Anolis sagrei: one gene and its partners. The protein of the gene in region 2 binds, or shares a complex with, the protein of the main gene of each other region. Links are inferred from orthologs where the notes say so. Each region holds a gene or a part of one and is shown on either strand. Other genes may lie near its edges.

Region 1 (7,940 bases), on a different chromosome or scaffold from region 2:
TCCCTCCATACCCTTTCTATTATCCTCCCCACCCTGATCACTATAGGGGCTTTGATGCCTCCCATCTGGAGGACCCTAGATACCCTCAGCCCCCCTGTGCGCCTCCCACGGCCACACTCTCTCGCCCTCAGGAAGACCAAACTGAGGCCCAAACCCACCCACCCGAGCAAGATCCCAACAATCCACCCCTGCCAGACTCAGAAACCATCGACCTTGAATCCAATGATGACACACCTGCCATCCTGGATACCCAACCTGACGCTGACCCCTCCCCTAAAAATGTGGAGGAATTCAAAAAATTCTCAGCTCTTTTAATAAGACTAACTAGAACCTTAAACTTAGCCACTCCGGAACCTACCGATACGGTAGCTGACCCGTGTTTTACTTCCACTGAACAACAACAACCATCATCCACTGTGTTGCCCACTCTACCTTACTTATTAAAAATTCTCAAAAATAATGGAGTTGCCCCGGCTTCTGTCCCGGCAACTCCTAAGAGGCCTGAAAACTTGTACCGTATTGACCTTTCCTCAGCTTCATGGCTTGCTAAAATGCCTAAAGCAAATTCTGTTGTGACTGATGCTCAACCTAAACCAACTCAAATTAACCAAACCTCTCCTTCTGATAAGGAAGGAAGAAAGTTGGATGCTATGGCCAAAAAGTTCTACTCCTCAGCATGCCTCTTTGCACGCATGGCTCACTATGGAGTATACATGAGTGTATACCAGACTGCCTTGTGGAACAAAATTGCTCCCTATCTAGACCTGTTACCACCAACTGAACAACCTCTAGCCACAGCTTTTAAACAAGAAGCTCTCCTTTTGGCCTCCCTACAAAAAGACCTCTCCAAAAATATTGCTGACACCGCAGGCAAACTTATTGCAGGATCAGTGGCCCTTCGTCGCCACGCCTGGCTAAGAGCAGCTATCCTTTCTCAATCACAACGCACCCTGATTGAAAATCTCCCCATGGATGAGGCAGGCCTTTTCAATCCTGAAACAGACTCTCAGTTAAAACACTCCCATGAAATGAAACAAACAGTATACAAGTATGACCATCAACCATACTCCTACCAACGCCAACGATGGGGCTCCTATTATTACCGTCCTCAATACTACAATAGGCCCTACAACACCTCATTCTACAGGGGACGACAAAGACCTTACAACCCCTCCACATCATCAAGACGACCGCCCCTACCTTCCAGAGGTCAGTACCGTGGTACCAGGCCCCCCAATACCAACAAACGCCGTTTTTAGCACACCTACACTTACCGACACTCCCTCACCACCCCACACCCAACCGCTTACATACCTTGACAGACTACATACCTTCCTTCCGACATGGCAGTCCATAACCACAGACACCTGGGTCTTGGACATCGTTGAAAGGGGTTATGCCATAGAATTTGACAATTATCCCCCAGTGGGTAATGTACTGCTAACACCACCTTCCCAAATCATTTGGGAAGAGATTCACTCTCTCCTCCAAAAGGGCGCCATCTCGCCTACTCCCTCACAAGATTCAGACATCTGTTTTTTCTCCCGTTACTTCCTGGTGGACAAGAAAGATGGTGGTCTACGCCCCATCCTTGATCTACGTAAACTCAACACTTTCATTACACCACGTAAATTTCATATGGTGACACTCCCCAAAATCCTTCCCTTCATTCCCAAGGACTCATGGTTAGCCACGATTGACCTTCGAGACGCCTACTTCCATATTTCAATTAGACACTCCCACCGCAGGTTCCTTACCTTTGCGGTCCAAAACAAACTATTCTCTTTTAATTCTCTCCCGTTCGGACTTTCCACATCTCCAAGGGTATTCACCAAATGCATGTCTGTTATAGCCGCACACCTCCGCCAGCAAGGCATCACAGTTTTTCCTTACCTGGATGACTGGATGTTTTGCTCATCCTCTCGATCACAACTGTGCAAGGATACTGATTATACTTTATCTCTTTTACAGGATCTGGGTCTGGTTGTGAATCACGAAAAATCTCACCTGACCCCAACACAACGTATCCAATTTATAGGAGCCATAATAGACTCCACACTTCAGAAGGCCTTCCTCCCAGAAGATCGCTTCCTAAATCTGTGTCAGGCTATCCTAACCCTACAACAATCCCGCCAAACATCAGCTTGGGCTATCCAATCTATCCTTGGCCATATGGCTTCTACCACAAGTGTAACACCCTTTGCCCGTCTAAGAATGAGACCCCTCCAAAGTTGGTTTCTCAAAGCGTTCGACCCCCTTCACGAACCCCAGTCACGGGTCCTAAAACCACCACCCCCTGTCCTCCAGTCACTCTCATGGTGGACAAAGCAATACAATGTTCTCTCGGGGATGCCATTCAACCATCCCCGTCCCTCCATGTCCCTCACAACCGACGCCTCCAACTCAGGTTGGGGAGCACATCTCAAGGGATTCCAGATCAGTGGCCACTGGTCCCCACAAGAGCAGAAGCTCCACATCAATGCCTTAGAAATGATGGCAGTGGAGAAGGCTCTTCGGGCCTTCACACGCATTGTGTCCAATCATGTCATACAAATAATAACAGACAACACCTCTGTCAAATACTACATCAACAAACAGGGAGGAACACGCTCACGCACACTCCTCCACATCTCACAACAAATTTGGGAGTGGTGCATTCTGAAGAATGTCCTCCTCACAGCCATCCACTTACCAGGCCAGGACAACATCCTGGCGGACTCTCTAAGCAGATCCTCAAAAAACAACCACGAGTGGCATCTCCACCCCAGACAGTTCAAAGCCCTCACACGCAAGTGGGGCGAACCCAGAATAGACCTATTTGCATCTCCAATAAACAACCACTGCCCACTCTACTGCGCACGGCTCCACCCTCGCGCATCCCAAGGTTGTCTCGGGGACGCCTTCCTATTCCAATGGTCGCCCGGCCTCCTCTACCTCTTCCCACCGCTCCCCCTCCTATCCCCAGTCATAGCCAAAATAATTCAGGACAACACGGACTGCATTCTAATCACACCCTGGTGGCCACGACAACATTGGTTTGCCCCCCTTCTCCAAATTTCCAACAAACAATACCTCCACCTCAGCCAAACCCCGGACCTTCTCACAGTAGAGAACGGCCTGGTCCTACACCCCGACCTGCAATCTCTACGCCTAACGGCGTGGAGAATCAAACCACACTAGACCTTTCTGATGAAGTCTCCCGTATACTTTTGGCGGCCCATAAACCTGCCACCAAGAAGTCATATGACTATAAATGGGCCTCTTTCAAATCCTTTGCTCACTCACTGGGACACAACCCTATCTCTGCCCCAGTTCCCTTTGTTTTAGACTTCCTTGTCCACCTTTCCGACAAAGGTTTCTCCCTTTCTTCGGTGAAATGCTACCTGTCAGCCATTTCATTTTTCCGAAGGAAGTCCGGGCTGCCGTCCCTTTTTCAGGACCATCTGGTACAGTTGTTTCTTAAGGGCTACAAAAATATCCACCCTCCTGTCTCCCCCCCTCCCCCCCAGTGGAGCCTGGAGCTAGTGCTATCCCAATTATCCAAACCACCATTTGAACCTATGGCCTCTAATGATATCTCCCACCTGTCGTGGAAGACGGCCTTTCTTGTGGCCATTACTTCAGCTAGGAGAGCCAGCGAACTCGCGGCCCTCCGTTCAGACCCTCCTTATGTGAGATTCCACCCTGACAAGGTTGTCCTCCGCACCGATGTCACGTTCCTTCCTAAGGTGGTCTCTCATTTTCATATGTCACAAGACATTGTTCTACCAAATTTTTTCCCCAACCCAGTTGGAGGTAGTTCTGCACTCCCTTGATGTTAAAAGAGCACTCTCCTTTTACTTACATAGAACTTCCGTTTATAGGAAGTCTCCCAGATTGTTTTTGAAATACAGGAAAGACGTACTTGGCCAGCCTGTGTCCTCCCAAGGACTGGCCTCCTGGATTGTTGCAACCATCCGTCTAGCCTACCAGCTCGCAGGGAAAGAACCTCCATCCCACCTCGTGGGACATTCAACCCGCTCTGTGTCTACATCTCAAGCATTCCTCAAGGGAATTCCCTTGGATCAGATTTGCAAAGCAGCTACGTGGGCTACGCCGTCCACGTTCGCCGCTCACTACAAGCTTGACATACAGGCAAAGCAAGATGCTAGCTTCGGCAGAGCAGTTCTTTTCTCCTGTGTGGCATGACCCACCTCCAGGTCAGTAGCTTGCTATTCACCCATAGGTGCGCATTTCACGGACGACACGAAGAATAAATAAAGGTTGCTTACCTGTAACCGTATTTCTTCGAGTGTCAGTCCGTGAAATCCGCACGACCCGCCCGTCCTCCCCTCTGTCATGCCATTCTCCTGGCTGCTGTTTAGCGCTGGGAACTAGATAATGGCGGCGCCGCTCGGCGCTTATATCCAGGGGGGCGGGGGAATGGGCGGGGCCTAGGTGGCTCAAATAATCATTTTTAATTCTTTAAACTTAGAAATGTTCCGAGTTTCTGCGCATGCGCAAAGAAGAACCCATAGGTGCGGATTTCACGGACTGACACTCGAAGAAATACGGTTACAGGTAAGCAACCTTTATTTTCTCGATGTTCAATGACAGGCCGAGTTTCTCGTATGCTTCTGCAACATTACAGTTATGAAGTAGCAATGAAAACAATTTTATGGTTGGCAGGTCACCACAACATGATGAACTAACTGCATGAAGGGGTGGCGGGATTGGGAAGGTTAAGAGCCACGGCTCTACTTGAGGAAGGAAAGCAAGCGATTGGGCGAAACCCTTCCAGGGCAGGGCCAGCAGGGGGCGCTCTTCCGCAGGGATTGCCCCTGGCCAACCGTGGGCGCTGCTGCTGCTGCTGGGCGGCGGGTGTTGACGGGCGCGCGGCGAGCTCCGCCCCGTTTCCCTCCCTCCCTCCCTCCCCCTCCCGAGGGGCGGGGCCTCTCCTGGCTCAGGCGCGGAGCGGCAGAAGCGGCGGAGGCGGGAGCGATGCAACAAGTGTCCCGCGAGCAGAGCGGGGGCCCTTTAAGTCCCGGAAGGCCGGCGCGCGCCTCGATGGTGCCGGCTTGGGCTCCGAAGCGGCGATGAGTGACAAGAGCAGCGAGGCGGCGGGCATCACCTTCTCGGTGCCCAGCCTGGTCGGGGGCGGATGCCCGCTGCTGCTCTGCGAGGACGCCTTCGGGAGGAAAACCGGGGCCGGGGCGGGCGGAGCGGGGTCCTCGCGGGCAGCTCCGCCCGGCGCCTTCTGGAACGAGGAGAGCGGCCACGGGAGCACCACCGTCGCCTGCGAGGCCGGGGCCCGGTCCCGGGGGGCCCGCCGGACCACGGTGTCGTACGTGATCAACGAGGCCAGCCCGGGCGCCGTCCTGCAGGCGGAGAGCGGGGCCCTGCAGAGCCTGCGCGAGGCGTGCGAGACCGTGGGCGCCGAGCTCCAGGCGCTCCACTTCGGGAAGCTCGACTTCGGAGAGACCGCTGTCCTCGACCGATTCTACAACGCCGGTGAGGCAGGCCCCCCTCCCCTCCCTCCCCCCTCCCTCTTCTCCCGCCCTCCTTGCGTCTCCACTGGAGGACGAACGCGCCTTGGCAGCCCTCCCTCCATGCTGGGGAATCCCCGACTTGCAAACATCCCACTTGCAAACGACTCACAGTTCAGAACGGGGCGGAGACAACAGGAAGTGAGGGAAATCAATGTATTGTCAAGGCTTTCATGGCCGGAATCAGGAGCTCCCCGTGGCGCGATGGGTTAAACCCTTGTGCCAACAGAACTGAAGACCAGCAGGTCGGAGGTTCGAATCCGGGGAGAGCGCGGATGAGCTCCCTCTGTCAGCTCCAGCTCCCCATGAGAGGAAGATGGTAAAACATCAAAACATCCGGGCGTCCCCTGGCAACGTTCTTGCAGACGGCCAGTTCTCTCACACTAGAAGTGACTTGCAGTTTCTCAAGTCACTCCAGACACGAAAACAACAACATGGCCGGAATCACTGGGTTGTTATAAGTTTCCCAGGCTGTATGGCCATGTTCCAGAAGCATTCTCTCCTGATGTTTCACCTGCATCTATGGCAGGTATCCTCAGAGGTTGTGAGGCTTGGTCTCAGGCCCCATCCTTTCCCCCCTCTGAGGATACCTGCCATAGATGCAGGTGAAACATCAGGAGAGAATGCTTCTGGAACATGGCCATACAGCCTGGGAAACTTACAACAACCCAGTGAGAGAAATCTTCCCTTTCAGAAGGGAAATTTGCTCCTGAAAGAGTTGTTGTCAGAGCGGAAAGGTGTCTCCGCTGAACCTTTCTCACCCGTCCTTCAAATGAAATTTCCCAAAATGATCACAGGGACAGAAATCGAGGTGAAATCTCCCGAACAGGGGCACAGGCAGCAAAGGAAATGCCACTGGGATGTTCACTCTTCCATAGGCTATCCAAAGTATTCCCCTGACGTTAAGTCTAGTTGTGTCTGACTCTGGGGGTTGGTGTTCATCTCCTTTTCTAAGCCAAAGAGCCAGCGTTGTCCGTAGACGCCTCCAAGGTCATGTGACCAGCATGACTGCATGGAGCACCATTACCTTCCCGCCTAAGCGGTACCTATTGATCTTCTCACATTTGCATGTTTTCAAACTGTTAGGTTGGCGGAAGCTGGGGCTAACAGCAGGAGCTCACCCCACTCCCTGGATTCGATGTGCCAACCTTTTGGTCAGCATGTTCAGCAGCTTAGCATTTAACTTGCTGCGCCACCAGGAGCTCCAGGATATCCAAAGCTTGCATAATAGATATTGCTGGAGATTGGCATTTAAGAAGGGTACCTGTTCAGACTTCACACATTCAATTTAAGAACAAGCCCACAGAACCCCTCTCATTTGTCACATGGGGACTGCCTATACTGGAAGGGGTGCCTTTACACTGGACCAGGAGTGTACAAGGGAATCCTGGGATTTGTAGTTTTACAAGAATTTGCAGTTATGAGTGCAGATTCATGCTGCTTGAACTGTTGTGGACTTCCTATGGAGTTGCACTTTGGCGAGGCAACCAGCCCTCTTTGGCTAAAAAAGACTTAATGAAACCACCAGCCCTTCCAGACAGGCACTTTATCCCAGAATCTGATCCGAGGTTTTCTCTTTGTCCCAGATTATCTGGCAGTGAAGACTCATATAATCCACTTTAAAGCAGAAAACCTGGGATCAGATCCTGGAATATAGGGCCTTTCTGGAAGGGCACTACGACACCAATGATTGCATATCATTGAGCCAGAGCTGTTAAAGCGACATCAAACTGCATTATTTCTGCTGTGGAGATCAGGGAGCCTTCCAGCTGTCTGGGACTCCAGCTCCCACAGTTCTTGACAATTGAGCAAGTTGGCTAGGGCTTCTGGGAGTTGGAGGCCCAAACAGCTGGAGAGCTGCAGTTTGAAGACACTTGGTGTAGATGCAAACAGTCTTTCTTCCCTGTCAGCACAGGAGGGCCAAGGGAGGCAAGGCACTTCCTTGACTGCAGATGAGAGATACTGAAGGGGAAGGGAGTCCCCTTCCTTCAGCACTTCCAACCCCTTCCTAATATAATAATTCTTGTGTACCTGCAGTGGAACCTGTTGGAGTATAATCCCTGGAATGGCCTCCTTTATCTCTAAGGCCTGGCACTAGAATTTTGCCCCCTTTCCTGATTTTGGAAGATTTTCATATGCATAATGGAAATGGGACACAAGCCTCAGCACCAAATACATTTTTGTTTCATATTATACACCTTATCCAGGGCCCTGGTGGCACAGTGGGTTAAACCACTGAGCTGCTGAACTTGCTGACTGAAAGGTTGGTGATCCAGATCCAGGGAGTGGGGTGAGCTCCTGCTGTTAGCCCCAACTTCTGCCTACCTAGCAGTTCAAAAACATGCAAATGTGAGTAGATCAATAGATACTGCTTCGGCGGGGAGGTAACGGCGCTCCATGCAGTCATGCCTGCCA
Region 2 (7,677 bases):
GGAGAGAGGGAGGGAAGAGAAAAGAAGAGAGAGAGAGAGAGAGAGGAGCGGCGGGTGCGTGCGGCGCATGCGCGAGCCAACGCGCTCTGCAGTGAGTGGGAGGGGTGAAGGGGAGTGGAGGAAGTTGGGGAGGGAGGGAGGAAAGGAGAGGCGGTGCGCGCGCTCCCGATGAGGGAGCGCGCGCACGAGAGCGCGAGAGTTGGGAAAGGGAAAGGAAAGGGGGGGGGGGGGGGAGAGAGGATTTATTTATTTATTTATTTATTTATCGTGTCATCAGCAACCATACCATTGTATTACATTTCTAACAGAACAAAACAAACACACCGATTAAAAAAAACCAAAAAAAACCCATAGATTTTGCAAACTTGGTAGTTGGTTAAATGTGCTTTGACCAGTATCTGGCCACTTGGAGTGCTTCTGCTGTTGCTGCAAGAAGGTCCTCCATTGTGCATGTAGCAGGGCTCAGGTTGCATTGCAGCAGGTGGTCAGTGGTTTGCTCCTCTCCGCACTCGCATGTCGAGGATTCCACTTTGTAGCCCCATTTCTTGAGGTTGGCTCTGCATCTCGTGGTGCCAGAGTGCAGTCTGTTCAGCGCCTTCCAAGTCGCCCAGTTTTCTGTGTGCCCAGGAGGGAGTCTCTCATCTGAGGTGCTGGGTTTGGGCCTGCCACTTTTGGACTCTCGCTTGCTGAGGTGTTCCAGCGAGTGTCTCTGTAGATCTTAGAAAACTATTTCTAGATTTAAGTCGTTGACGTGCTGGCTGATACCCAAACAGGGGATGAGCTGGAGATGTCTCTGCCTTGGTCCTTTCACTATTGGCTGCTACTTCCCGGCGGATGTCAGGTGGTGCAATACAGGCTAAGCAGTGTAATTTCTCCAGTGGTGTAGGGCGCAGACACCCCGTGATAATGCGGCATGTCTACTGCATGGACTATTGCAACGCCCTGTATTTATTTATTTACGACATTTATATGCCGCCCTTCTCACCCCGAAGGGGACTCAGAGCGCCTTACAAGGTATATATACATACAATATATTATTAACATAGTACAATATCAGTTTTAAATATTGCTATATTGCACTATATCAATTATACTGTAATATTATTAGTAATATTACATGTAATATAAATATATAATTATAATATCATATTATTAGTAGTAGTATTATATTGCATTACATTACATTACAATATTATAAATATTATATGTATATACAATGTATATAATACATATGTTGGCCTTCCAATGTCTACGACCCAAAAGTTTCGTATTGTTCAGAATGCGGCAGCCAGGCTACTCACAAGAACGCCCATGAAATGCCATATAACACCAGTGCTGCTACATTTACATTGGCTTCCAACTGAGTACCGTGGCCTGTATAAAATGCTAGTTCTGACCTTTAAAACTCTTTACGGCCAGGGTCCATCGTACCTTAGGGACCGCCTCTCCTTCTCTCATCATCAGAGGTCGCAACGACCAGCCCAACATGACTTACTCCATATACCGGATCCTAGAGAAGTGCACTTGGAAAGGACCAGGCGCAGGGCTTTTTCTATTTCTGCCCCTGCCTTGTGGAATTCCTTGCCGCCCTACATGAGAGCCATGCGTGACTTAGGGCCTTTTACTCTCGCACTTAAGACCTGGGTTTTTACTAGAGCATTCGATCTCTGTTGATTTTTAATTTTTGTATATATGTATTTTATCTTTTATAATTTAGCTGTAAATCGCCTAGAGCATTCTCGGATGGAGGGCAATTAATAAGTTATTCAAAGATGATGATGATGATGATTAAGAACCACATCCACTGTTTTAGTGTGGTCAGATGTGTTCCACACTGGGCATGCATACTCAGCAGCAGAGTAGCGCAGCGCAAGGGCAGATGTCTTCACTGTATCTGGTTGTGATCCCCAAGTTGTGCCAGTCAGCTTTCGTATGATATTGTTTCTGGCACCCACTTTTTGCTTGATGTTCAGGCAGTGCTTCTTGTAGGTCAGAGAATGGTCCAGAGTGACTCCCAGATATTTGGGTGTGCTGCAATGCTCCAGTGGGATTCCTTCCCAGGTGATCTTCAGAGCTCAGGATGCTTCTCTATTCTTGAGATGAAAGGCACATGTCTGTGTTTTAGATGGGTTAGGGATCAGCTGGTTTTCCCTGTAGTAGGCAGTAAGAGCACCTAGAGCTTCGGAGAGCTTCTTTTCAACCATCTCAAAGCTCTCTGCTTGAGCAGTAATAGCACGATCATCAGCATAGATGAAACTCTCCGTCCCTTCTGGCAGTGGCTGGTCATTTGTGTAGATGTTGAACATGGATGGAGCAAGCACACTCCCCTGAGGCAGGCCGTTCTTCTGTTTCCGCCATCTGCTTCTCTGGCCCTGAACTCAACAAAAAAGCTCCTGTTTTGTAGCAGGTTTCCTATGAGGCGGGTGAGGTGGTAGTCCTTTGTGATATTATACATTTTTCTCAGGAGGAGGCGGTGGTTCACACTATCATAAGCTGCTGACAGGTCTATGAAGACAGCTCCTGTGATCTGCTGCCTTTCAAAGCCATCTTCTATGTGCTGAGTCAGGTTCAACACTTGCAATGTGCAGCTTTTGCCTTTTCCGAAGCCAGCTTGCTGTGGGATCAGTCAGGGGTCTATATTTTCCCAGGTATTTGGGTGTGTTGCAATGCTCCAGTGGGATTCCTTCCCAGGTAATCCTCAGAACTCGGGATGCTTGTCTGTTCTTAAGGTGAAAGGCATGCGTACTCAGCAGCAGAGTAGCATAGCGCAAGGGCAGATGTCTTCACTGTGTCTGGTTGTGATCCCCAGGTTGTGCCAGTCAGCTTTCGTATGATATTGTTTCTGGCACCCACTTTTTGCTTGATGTTCAGGCAGTGCTTCTTGTAGGTCAGAGCATGGTCCAAAGTGACTCCCAGGTACTTGGGTGTGCTGCAATGCTCCAGTGGGATTCCTTCCCAGGTAATCCTCAGAGCTCAGGATGCTTGTCTGTTCTTAAGGTGAAAGGCATGCGTACTCAGCAGCAGTGTAGCATAGCGCAAGGGCAGATGTCTTCACTGTGTCTGGTTGTGATCCCCAGGTTGTGCCAGTCAGCTTTCGTATGATGTTGTTTCTAGCGCCCACTTTTTGCTTGATGTTCAGGCAGTGCTTCTTGTAGGTCAGAGCACGGTCCAAAGTGACTCCCAGGTACTTGGGTGTGTTGCAATGCTCCAGTGGGAATCCTTCCCAGGTAATCCTCAGAGCTCGGGATGCTTGTCTGTTCTTAAGATGAAAAGCACACGTCTGTGTTTCAGATGGGTTAGGGATCAGTTCGTTTTCCCTGTAATAGGCAGTAAGAGCACCTAGAGCAGTGGTTCTCAACCTTCCTGATGCAGTGACCCCTTAATACAGTTCCTCATGTTGTGGTGACCCTCAACCATAACAAAACTGTCATTTTGCTACCATTATGAATCATCATAAATATCTGATATGCAGGATGTATTTTCATTCACTGGTCAAAATTTGGCACAAATACCTGATATGCTCAAATTTGAATACGGGTGGGGTTGGAGGGGTTGATTTTGTCATTTGGGGGTTGTAGTTGCTGGTATTTATAGTTCACCTACAATCAAAGAGCATTCTGAACTCCATCGATAGTGGAACTGAACGGAACTTGTCACGCAGAACTCCCATGACCAACAGAAAATACTGGAAGGGTTTGGTGGGCATTGCCTTGAGTTTGGGAGTTGTAGTTCAAATACATCCAGAGAGCACTGTGGACTCAAACAGTGATGAATCTGAACCAAACTTGGCACAAATACTCAATATGCCCAAATGTGGAGTTTGGGGGGGGAAATAGACCTTGTCATTTGGGTGTTGTAGTTGCTGGGATTTATAGTTCATCTACAATCAGAGTATTCTTGACCCCACCAACGATAGAATTGGGCCAAAACTTCCCACACAGAACCCTTATGATCAACAGAAAATACTGTGTTTTCTGATGGTCTTTGGCGACCCCTCTAACACTCCCTCACGACCCCCCCCAGGGGTCCCGACCCCCAGGTTGAGAAATGCTGACCTAGAGCTTTGGAGAGCTTCTTTTCAACCATCTCAAAGCTCAGTTCTTGTGGGTTTTTTCGGGCTATAGAGCCATGTTCGAGAGGCATTTCTCCTGACGTTTCGCCTGCATCTATGGCAAGCATCCTCAGAGGTGAGGTCACCTCTGAGGATGCTTGCCATAGATGCAGGCGAAACGTCAGGAGAAATGCCTCTAGAACATGGCCATATAGCCCGAAAAAACCCACAAGAACTGAGTGATTCCCAGCCATGAAAGCCTTCGACAATACATCTCAAAGCTCTCTGCTTGAGTGGTAAATGGCACGATCATCAGCATAGGGGAAAAGGAGAGAGAGAGAGAGAAGTGTCCTAGTGAGGCGAGCGCGCGCGCTCGTTCTCGCGGCGGTTGGTGCAGTCCATCGCTTTGGAAAGCGGAAAAAGAGGTGAGGCGCGCGCGAGAGGCAGAGAAAGAGAGTGTGTGTATGTGCGCGCGCGCGAATGGAGGGAGGGGAAGTGTAGGCGCCTTCCAGGGCGCGCGCGCTCTCGCTCCCTCTACCGCCCGCTCGCCGTTGCCATGGCGCCGCTTGACGTCACGGGCTCTGTGTTGCCCGTGCGTTGCGACGCGGTGATTGGCGGAGACCCCGTGCGTGTGTGTGAGAGAGAGCGAGAGAGAGCGAGAGAGGCTGCTGCGAACGAGGGAGGCACAGTCCGCGCCGGTCACCCGCCTAAAGGGACTCTCTCGTAGTGTCGACCCCGCAAGGTAACGAACGGCCTCTCGAGGAGGGTGGGCTCTTCCCATCTCGGTCCCTCCCTCCCTCCGCTTCCTTTGTCTATCGTTTCCTTTCTTTCTTTCCGGGGGGGAGGGAAGGCAGTGGCGGGAAGAGCCCGCAAAACAGGAGAAGTGGGGGGGGGGGGGGGGGAGCGTCGGAAGAGGGAAGAGCCGCGGCCTTGTCTTCTCAGGGCGTCGGCGGCGCCATTCATTCCCTCTCTTGCTGGGGCGCAGGTGCCTCCCTCGTCCTTTCCCTCCCTCAGATCGAGAGGAAGGGAGGAACATGGTTCTGTTTGGAGGGAGGGGGTTTTAAGTGGGCGAGGCGGGGGCGCCATTTTTTCCCTTTCCCTGAGGCAGGTGAAGCCCTCAGGGCGGTGTCCCTTATTTTCGCCAGGAAGAAAGATGGAGGGAAGGGAGGGAGGGGGACTCTCCTCCTTCCTTCCTTCCCTCCCTCCTTCCCTCTCTTTCTTTTCTTTCTTTCTCTCTCTCTTCAGGCATGATGGAAGAAGGGGAAGTGCCCACACCGACCTCCTCTCCTCTTCCCTTCAGTTTGGAGGGAGGGATTTGGAGGAGAGGCAGGCGAGGTGGGGCGCCATGTTGGGGAGCACACTGCCTCCTCCATTCTATTCTCCATTCTCCATCCCTTTCTTTGCTCCCCCTCCCTCCCTCCTTGCCTGCCTCCCTTCCTTCCGCCGCCTCCACTCCTTCATCTCGGGCGCTTTTTTGAAAGGGTGTGGCCGCCGCAGGAGGAGGAGGAAGGGATCGCCAAGAGGCCGCCTCCTTCCTCTCTCTCTCCCCCCCTCTCTCTCCCCCTCCCTTCTTTCCTTCCTTCCTTGGCGAAAACCGGGAGAAATAGGTGGGTCTGTGGATCCTTCCACACAGCCATGTAACCCAGAATATCAAGGTAGAATATACCACAATATCTGCTTTGAACTGGGTTATGTAGCAGTGTGGGCTCAGATAACCCACAGCCCTTCCACACAACCTTATAACCCAGAATAAAATAAAAAAGAGAGGAGGGTGGGTAGTGTTTGAGGCTGCTGGTGATGATTGGTAAAACCTGATGTCTCCTGGACACAGTGATGGCTTAAAAGTACAATTTTGTGACTGGAGATCTGGATTAAGCCATTTTAGATTCTGTTCCACACTGAGAAATTCAACCCACCTAGGGCCCTTCCACACAGCCATATAAACCTGAATATCAAGGGAGAAAATCCCACAATATCTGCTTATCTGAGCCCACACTGCCATATAACCCAGTTCAAAGCAGATATTGTGGGATTTTTCTCCCTTGAGATTCTGGGTTATACGGCAGTGTGGGCTCAGATAACCCAGGGTCCTTTCACGCAGCCATATAACCTCGAATCTCAAGGCAGAATATCCCACAATACCTGCTTTGAACTGGGTTATATGGCAGTGTTGGCTCAGATAACCCAGGGCCCCTCCACACAACCTTATAACCCAGAATAAAATAAAAAAGGGAGGAGGGTGGGTAGTGTTTCAGACTGCTGGTGATGGTTGGTAAAACCTGATGTCTCTTGGACACATTGATGGCCTAAAAGTACAATTTCGTGACTGGAGATCTGGATTAAGCCAGTTTAGGTTCTGTTCCCCACTGAGAAATTCAACCCACTCAGAGCCCTTCCACACAGCCATATAAACCAGAATATCAAGGCAGAATATCCAACAATATCTGCTTTGAACTGGGTTATGCAGCAGTGTGGGCTCAGATAACTCAGGACCCTTCAACACAGCCATATAACACAGAATATCAAGGAAGAATATCCCACAATATCTGCTTTGAACTGGGTTATGTAGCAGTGTGGGCTCAGATAGTCCAGAGCCCTTCCACACAGCCATATAAACCTGAATATCAAGGCAGAATATCCCACAATTTCTGCTTTGAACTGGGTTATGTAGCGGTGTGGGCTCAGATAATCCAGGGTCCTTCCACACAGCTATATAACACAGAATATCAAGGAAGAATCTCCCACAATATCTGCTTTGAACTGGGTTATGTAGCAGTGTGGGCTCAAATTACCCAGGGCCCTTCCACACAACCTTATAACCCAGAATAAAATAAAAAAGAGGAGGGTGGGTAGTGTTTGAGGCTGCTGGTGATGGTTGGTAAAACCTGATGTCTCCTGGACACATTAATGGCTTAAACTTCTCCAGTGATAGGCTGCCTCAGGCAAGAAGAAGTACAATAATAGAATCAAAGAGTTGGAAGAGACCTCATGGGCCATCCAGTCCAACCCCCTGCCAAGAAGCAGGAATATTGCATTCGAATCATCCCTGACAGATGGCCATCCAGCCAATTTTGTGACTGGAGATCTGGATTAAGCCAGTTTAGGTTCTGTTCCCCACTGAGAGATTCAACTCAACTTCCACACAGCCATATAAACCAGAATATCAAGGCAGAATATCCCACAATATCTGCTTTGAACTGGGTTATATGGCAGTGTGGGTTCAGATAACCCAGGGCCCTTCCAGAATAAAATAAAAAAGGGAGGAGGGTGGGTAGTGTTTCAGACTGCTGGTGATGGTTGGTAAAACCTGATGTCTCCTGGACACATTGATGGCTTAAACTTCCCCAGGGATAGGCTGCCTCGGGCAAGAAGAGGTACAATTTTGTGACTGGAGATCTGGATTAAGCCAGTTTAGGTTCTGTTCCCCACTGAGAAATTCAGCCCACTCAGGGCCCTTCCACACAGCCATATAAACCAGAATATCAAGGCAGAATATCCAACAATATCTGCTTTGAACTGGGTCATGGGATGGTGTGGGCTCAGATGACCCAGGGCCCTTCACACAGCCATATAACCCAGAATATCAAGGGAGAAAATCCCACAATATCTGCTTATCTGAGCCCACA
Region 3 (7,712 bases), on a different chromosome or scaffold from region 2:
CCAGTTGAAATGTCACTCAATAAACAAGTCTCTGAGTTTTCTGGATATTGAACAAAGCTGGCTCACTACTTTGTGATATTTTACTTGATTGTATGAAAACAATGGATCCCCAGCCTTTTAACTCCCACCATCCCTGATCACAGGCCATGATGGATGGAACTTCTGGAAGCTCAAGTCCAAAATGTGTACCAACCAAAACCTGAGGAGCAGCCTTCCAGATTTTGCTGGATTACTAATATCAGCAGCCCTGGTGAGGAATCTTGGGAGATACACTTCAGCAACCTCTGGGGCTCCTTCTGCACTGCCATATAATCCAGATTATCAAATCAGATAATCCAGATTACCTGCTTTGAATTGGATTATATGAGTCTGCACTGCCATATAATCCAGTTCAAAGCAGATAATTTGGATTTTCTATGGTAGTGTAAGAGGATCTTGGAAGGCTCGTGATTGAACTCTTCAATATTTCTCAGATAAAAACCAGGCCCATGTGTCCAAGCAACCTTGGAGTGTGTTCCAATTGGGAAAAATTATTAATGAGGGAACACACACAAGCTAGAAGAGACTGTAGCACTTTGCTTCTCTCCCCTCTCCCATGTTGAGTTTCCACCCAGGGCCCTTCCACACTGTCCCTATATCCCAGGATCTGATCCCAGATTAGCTGCTTATCCCAGAATATCTGGCAGTGGAGACTCATATATTCCACTTTAAAGCAGATAATCTGGGATCAGATCCTGGGATATAGGGCAGTGTGGAAAGGCCCTCATCTTTCATCTGCCAGGGGTCATAGCTATGGGATCAATGGAGTTGTCGTATCACAAGGTCTTTAGCCTTCTCTGCCAAAAAGTGCTGGTGCCTCACAAAACAAGAAATCCTAGAATTCCATAGCACTGAGCCATGGCAGTTAAGGTGGTGTCAAACTCCATTCTTGTATAGTATAGATGAACCTTCCAACCGCCTATTCCTCTGGTCTGGTTGCCTCATCTACATCTTTCAAGACTTTGCAGGGAGCGTCTGTCACTCAAGATCCCTATCCTCCCACTACTTTAGGTCCCTTCCACACAGCTGAATAAAATCCCGCATTTTCTGCTTTAAACTGGGATATATGACACTGTGAACTCAGATAACCCAGTTCAAAGCAGATATTGCGGGATCTTCTGCCTTGATATTCTGGGGGTGTTTCCAGAGAGCACTAAATCACGAATTTTAAACTGGGACAAAAAATTCTGGGACTTCAGTAGAGGTCTACATACAGACTTGTTGGTCCTGGGAGTTTTGTCTTTGTTGTCCAGATCTGATGCTTTGTTGTGATATTTAGAAGCTTCCAAGATGGCTGATGCAGGACTTCCGCCTGAAACTTCTGCGGGTTTTTAAAAAAACCTCAAAATGCAGACATGCAGAAACTCACTGTAGTGAATCACTGCAAAAGTTCCATTTTTGTCCTGGTCAAGGAAACTGTGCCCTCCTGACATTTCATGAAGCATCTGCCACTCAAAGTTTACGGAGTAGGACCACTTATGCCCAAATCAGCACTGCACAAACAGGAACACAGACTTTCAAGCCAAGAACAGAACTTTGTCATTATTGACACCTTTTAGAGCCTGTCTGCCTGGCCATCTGTCCAGACCAGTAGTTCTAAACCTTCCTAATGCCGCGAACCCTTGATACAGTTCTTCATGTTGTGGTGAACCCCAAATATAAAATTATTTTCGTTGCTACTTCATGACTGTAATTTTGCTACTGTTATGAATCATAATGAAAATATCTGATATGTAGGATGTATTTTCATTCACTGGACCAAATTTGGCACAAATACCCGATACGCCCAAATTTGAACACTAGTGGAGTTGGAGGGGAGGATTGATTTTGTCATTTGGGAGTTGTAGTTGCTGGAATTTATAGCTCACCTACAATCAAAGAGCATTCTGAACTCCACCAACAATGGAATTGAACCAGTCTTGGCACACAGAACTCCCATGACCAACAGAAAATACTGGAAGGGTTTGGTTGGCATTGATAGTGAGTTTTGGAGTTGTAGTTCACTTACATCCAGAGAGCACTGTAAGAGAACAATGATGGGTCTGGACCAAACTTGGCACAAATACTCAATATGCCCAAATGTGAATACTGGTGGAGTTTGGGGGAAAAACAGACCTTGACATTTGGGAGTTGTAGTTGCTGGGATTTATAGTTCACCTACAATCAAAGTGCATTCTGAACCCCACCAATGATATAATTGGGCCAAACTTCCCACACAGAACCCTCATGACTAACAGAAAACATTGTGTTTTCTGATGGTTTCTGGCGACTCCTCTGACACCCCCTCAGGACCCCCCCTCCCCAGGTTGAGAATCACTGGTCCAGACAGATTTTGTTGTGTACTTGTGGCATTAAACAACAGGGTGCTGTTTCTGGGTTATACATGGCTGTTTCTGGTTGCTCTTCTTGTGAAAAGATGTACAACTTTATCCTGGACAGAGAAAATGTGCCCTCCACAAGTTTCATGAAGTTTCTGGCATACAAACAAAGCTTTTGCCTTCTACTCAAACATCACCTTCTTTTTTGGAACTGACCAATCAAGAACAAACATCTAAAACTCAGGAACAAACCCAGATAAAAAAAAATCTTGTGATTTCTGATTGCAGGAACATACAGACATGCGAAGATCCGCATATTCGGTTCAAAACTGCGATATTCCTGCACCTGGAAATCTTGTGTTTTTTGCCTTTTGTAGTGATTGCTTCCATATTTACAGGAAACAGCGTCTGGTCACCCTCCTGTTTGCTGCAGAAGCTCCTGGGATAGAGGTACTGTCTGGATGGGACCTGGGTTATATGACTGTGTGAAAGGGCCCTAGGTTATCTGAGGTCCCTTCCACACAGCAGGATAAAATCCTACATTGTCTGCTTTGAACTGGAATATACGGCAGTGTGGACTCAGATAACCCAGTTCAAAGCAGATATTGTGGGATTTCTGCCTTGATATTCTGGAATATAGGGCTATGTGGAAGAGCACTCAGTTATCTGCGTTCACACTCAGATAATGTGGGATTTTTTATGCCTTGATATTCTGGGATATAGGGCTGTGTGGAAGGGCCCTACAAGGGCATGATTTCATGATTATGAACTTCCCCAAATGGGACAAGATCCTTAGTGTCAAGGAGCCATTGAAGCTGAGCCCAAGGGGAGCAGGAAGAGCCTGGCACGACAAGGGCCCTTCCTCACAGCCCTATATCCCAGAATATCAAGGCAAAAGAAATCCCACATTACCTGAATGTGGACACGGATAACTGAGAGCCCTTCCACACAGCCATATAACCCAGAATATCAAGGCAGAAAATCCCACAATATCTGCTTTGAACTGAGATATCTGAGTCCACACTGCCATATAGTTGTTGTTCATTCGTTCAGTCATTTCCGACTCTTTGTGACTTCATGGACCAGTCCATGCCAGAGCTCTCTGTCAGTCGTCACCACCCCCAGCTCCTCAAGGTCAATCCAGTCACTTCAAGGATGCCATCCATCCATCTTGCCCTTAGTGGGCCCCTCTTCCTTTTTCCTTCCATTTTCCCCAGCATCATACTCTTCCCTAAGCTTTCCTTTCTTCTCATGATGTGGCCAAAGTACTTCATCTTTGCCTCTACTATCCTTCCCTCCAATGAGCAGTCAGGCTTTATATCCTGAATTATGGACTGGTTGGATCTTCTCGCAGTCCAAAGCACTCTCAGAGCTTTCCTCCAGCACCACAGTTCAAAAGCATCTATCTTCCTTCGCTCAGCCTTCCCTATGGTCCAGCTCTCACATCCATATATTCCACTGCCATATATTCCAGTTCAAAGTGGAAAATGTAGAATTTATTCAACTGTGTGGAAGGGGCCTAAATTGCTGCTGTCTTTCAGAAGTGCCCCCAGTGGTGCAGTGGGTTAAAGCGCTGAGCTGCTGAGCTTGTTGACCGAAAGGTCGCAGGTTTGATTCCGGGGAGCGGCGTGAGCTTCTGCTGTCAGCACTAGCTTCTGCCAACCTAGCAGTTCGAAAACATGCAAATGTGAGTAGATCAATAGGTACCACTTCGGTGGGAAGGTAACGGCACTCCATGCAGTCATGCCGGCCACATGACCTTGGAGGTGTCTATGGACAATACCGGTTCTTTGGCTTAGTAATGGAGATGAGCACCGCACCCCTGAGTCAGACATGTCAGGGGACAACCTTTACCTTTACCTTCAGAAGTGTGTGTGTTTATTTACAACTTTCTCCCCTTCCACACAGCCCTATAAAGGGAATATCAAGGCAGAAAATCCCACAATAACTGAGTTCTCTGAGTCCACACTGCCATATATTACAGTTCAAATCAGAAAATGTGGGGTTTTACTGAGCTTGGCGGAAGGGCCCTAAATTACTGCTGTGTTTCAAAGTCTGTGTGTGGTTCTTCCTTCACAACTTTTCCCCGGGTTGTTGTAGGTTTTTCGGGCTGTCTGGCCATGTTCCAGAAGCATTCTCTCCTGACGTTTCGCCTGCATCTATGGCAGGCATCCTCATAGGTTGTGAGCTCTGTTGGAAACTTTCCCCCGCCTTGAGCCCACTTGGACGCTGCTCGGTTTGTTGGGGGCATGGGGGTGTTCCTGGTGCTCTGGGCACTTCCTTCTTTTGCTGGGACAACCCCTCGACCCTCGCCTCGGTCTCCTCCTTTCTGCTTTCTCTGCCTCTCCTTTCCCTCCTCTTTGTCCCTAATTGAAAGCAGCGGCCTCTCTCTCTCGCGCGCGTTCGGGGTTCGGCTTGGCGAAGCAGGGCCAGGAGCGCCTCCTCAAGCCTTGCTGGGGAGAGCCAGCCCCAAACTTCCCCCTCAGCCACCCCGCCCTCGAGAGAGGCAGGCGCCCAGCTCCAACTTTGGACTGACTTCACTCTTTGAACTTGGCGCCTCCTGGACTCCAAGAAGCGCCGGGACTTGGAGGCAGCAGGAGCAGCCCTCCGTGTCTGCCTTGAGCCTGAGACGGGAGACAACTTGTAGAACAAGGGAAAGAGCCAGCCAAGAGGGATGAAGGCTCCTTGGCAGCAGAAGCAGAAGCAGAAGGAGGCGCGCTTCTTCTCCCCGCCAGGGCTGGCCCGCCTGCTCCTCTCCCTCAGCTGTTGCTCCACGCCTGCCCAGGCTTACAACTTGGACACGCTGAGCCCGCTGGTCTTCCAAGGGCACAACGGGACTTTGTTTGGCTACTCGGTGCTCCTCCACAGCGTGGCCCACACGCCCTGGTGAGTAGCCCTCGCCCCACCCAAGGGCAACTCTTCTGCCCAGCCTGCAGCCCAGCCACCCATGGCATCCCACATGCTCTTCCTGCTCAGACTCAAGGGCTCCTTGACACTAAGGACCTTGTCCTCTTTGGGGGAGTTCATGATCATGGCATCATGGCCTTTTAGGGCCCTTCCTCACAGCTCTATAGCCCAGAATATCAGGGCAAAAGAAATCCCACATTATCTGAGTGTGAAGGCCCTTCCACACAGCCCTATATCCCAGAATATTATAGGTTCTTGTGGGGTTTTTTGGGCTATAGAGCCATGTTCTAGAGGCATTTCTCCTGACGTTTCGCCTGCATCTATGGCAAGCATCCTCAGAGGTAGTGAGGTCTGTTGGAATTAGGACAATGGGTTTATATATCTGTGGAATGGCTGGGGTGGGGCAAAGAGCTCTTCTCTGATGGAGCTAGAGAAATGCCTCTAGAACATGGCCCTATAGCCCAAAAAAACCCACAAGAACCTAGTGATTCCAGCCATGAAAGCCTTCAACAATACAAATCCCACATTATCTGAGTGTGAACTCAGATAACCTAGCTCCCTTCCTCACAGCCCTATATCCAGAATATCAAGGCAAAAAAAATCCCACATCTGAGTGTGAATTCAGTTAATTGAGTGCCCTCCCACACAGCCCTATATCCAAGAATATCAAGGCAAAAAACCCCCACATTATCTGAGTGTGATAACTGAGGGCCCTTCCACACTCAGAATATCAAGGTAGAAAATATCAAGAATATCAAGGCAGAAAATCCCGCAATATTTTATTTGAAATGGGCTATCTGAGTCCACACTGCCATAAATCACAGTTCAAAGCAGATGATGTGGGATTTTATTCAGCTGTATGAAAGGACCCCCAGTTCAAAGCAGATATTGTTGGATATCCTGCCTTGATATTCTGGGATATAGGGTCAGTTAATACCTCCCAACAAAGGATTCCCCCAGGCTGGAAGCAGCCAAGCTTTGATGCTGCAAGACCATTCAATGCTAATCAAGATGATCAGTTGCAACATTCAGCATACAAGAGTTCTTTCTCCAACGCCGGACATTTGGCAGATATATAAACCCATCTTCCCTAGTTTCCAACAGACTTCACAACTTCTGAGGATGCCTGTCATAGATGTGGGCGAAACATCAGGAGAGAATGCTTCTGGAACATGGCCATACAGCCCAGAAAATTCACAGCAATCCAGTGAGTCTAGCCATGAAAGCCTTCAACAATACTTACCATATGTCTGCTGAACTTGCTGGTTTCTCCTTTACTAACCAAATTCATCCCTCAGTTATTACTTACAGCGTGTCTTCTGAATTTGGTGGTTTCTCCCTTTCTAACTGTTTTCATCCTTATCCCACCAGCAAGTGGATTGTCCACCCGTTCCCTCCCTCCCCCTTTTTACAAAAAAGGGCGTTACTTCGACATCACAAGAGTCCAAACTCTTGCTGGTTTGAGATTTGCATTCCTTAAGAAAAATAGTGATCTACTAAAGTAACAATATTTCTTAGTTCTAAATATATATTAAACAATTACAGACATTGATTGTGTGGCCACATTACAGCAGAGAAGTGGGGGCTTACTGCTGGTTAGTAGACCGCCCACAGGACAGCCCATTTGCCTACGTCATCCTATTTGAGTCAATGTAGGCAATTCTGACGGCTCCTATCCCACATGTTTTGGGCACTTTAGAAATGGAATATCATGCATCCAAGACAATTGAGATGCTTTCAGATCGTCATCTCCCCCATCCCCTTTTTCAACGATTACATGACAAATCTTGACAGGCAGAGACAGGAAGTCCCCCTGCATCGTGGGATGGGTTCCATTGCTTTCCATTCTATAAATGTATACATAGTGTTTAAAACTGGGGGGGGGGGGGGGGTCTCGTTGGATAAGGCTCTGTGCTTGTTTGAGCGAGTGAGCTAGAGAATAAGACTTAGTTTAATTCTCTCTTGTCTTCTCCATCCTGCTGTCTGAATGTTGAGGAAGGGACAAGAGAAGTGTGTGAGTTCACAGCCAAAGCAAATAACGAAATGAGGTTGTAGTTTGTTTGTTTCTTTACTAAGAGTTTGAGTGACTTATGTGGGGTTCAAAATCCCACTCACCGAAGTGCCAGGGCTTTGGAGTGTGACTTGTTAGGACTCTCATCTAGTTACCTGGCGTATTCTGGAGATCCCATGAATGTCATTAGGGTGGGGGGAGAAAATAATACAAAGAGGTAGAGTTTGAGTGATTTGGGGGGGGGGGGGTGAGATTCCAAATCAACCAAGTGCCTGACATGTAAACATTTGATTTCTCCAGAGTTCTCCTTCAAGTCACCTGACATGGTCGCTGTTTTCAAATCAACTGGGGTCTTATGGCAAACCCACTAATGGTGACTCCATGGATGTCATTGTAAAAAATAAAATAACAGTTTTCGCGACTCAATGGGATGTGGG

The links. The genes of interacting proteins can lie anywhere in the genome.
Region 1: the proteins of YWHAZ (region 2) and MAP3K5 are in contact, whole or in part, in a crystal structure (PDB 6EJL), measured with the Homo sapiens proteins. The link is inferred for Anolis sagrei from reciprocal best matches to the Homo sapiens genes YWHAZ and MAP3K5. Residues at the interface, in NP_001129171.1 of Homo sapiens: Val46, Lys49, Asn50, Arg56, Lys120, Arg127, Tyr128, Glu131, Gly169, Leu172, Asn173, Val176, Tyr179, Glu180, Ile217, Leu220, Asp223, Asn224, Leu227, Trp228; in NP_005914.1 of Homo sapiens: Ser964, Ile965, Ser966, Leu967, Pro968, Val969.
Region 3: the proteins of YWHAZ (region 2) and ITGA4 are in contact, whole or in part, in a crystal structure (PDB 4HKC), measured with the Homo sapiens proteins. The link is inferred for Anolis sagrei from reciprocal best matches to the Homo sapiens genes YWHAZ and ITGA4. Residues at the interface, in NP_001129171.1 of Homo sapiens: Lys49, Arg56, Lys120, Arg127, Tyr128, Glu131, Gly169, Leu172, Asn173, Val176, Tyr179, Glu180, Ile217, Leu220, Asn224, Leu227, Trp228; in NP_000876.3 of Homo sapiens: Arg1007, Gln1008, Tyr1009, Lys1010, Ser1011, Ile1012, Leu1013.

The regions. Positions count from the first base shown.
Region 1 is NC_090021.1:79,747,547-79,755,486, forward strand, and holds the start of MAP3K5 (mitogen-activated protein kinase kinase kinase 5), read left to right. Parts: upstream 1-4,931; 5' UTR 4,932-5,075; coding exon 5,076-5,490; intron 5,491-7,940. UniProt on the Homo sapiens protein: Serine/threonine kinase which acts as an essential component of the MAP kinase signal transduction pathway. Plays an important role in the cascades of cellular responses evoked by changes in the environment.
Region 2 is NC_090024.1:30,751,470-30,759,146, forward strand, and holds the start of YWHAZ (14-3-3 protein zeta/delta), read left to right. Parts: upstream 1-4,667; 5' UTR 4,668-4,793; intron 4,794-7,677.
Region 3 is NC_090021.1:188,019,325-188,027,036, reverse strand, and holds the start of ITGA4 (integrin alpha-4), read left to right. Parts: upstream 1-4,703; 5' UTR 4,704-5,031; coding exon 5,032-5,243; intron 5,244-7,712. UniProt on the Homo sapiens protein: Integrins alpha-4/beta-1 (VLA-4) and alpha-4/beta-7 are receptors for fibronectin. They recognize one or more domains within the alternatively spliced CS-1 and CS-5 regions of fibronectin. They are also receptors for VCAM1.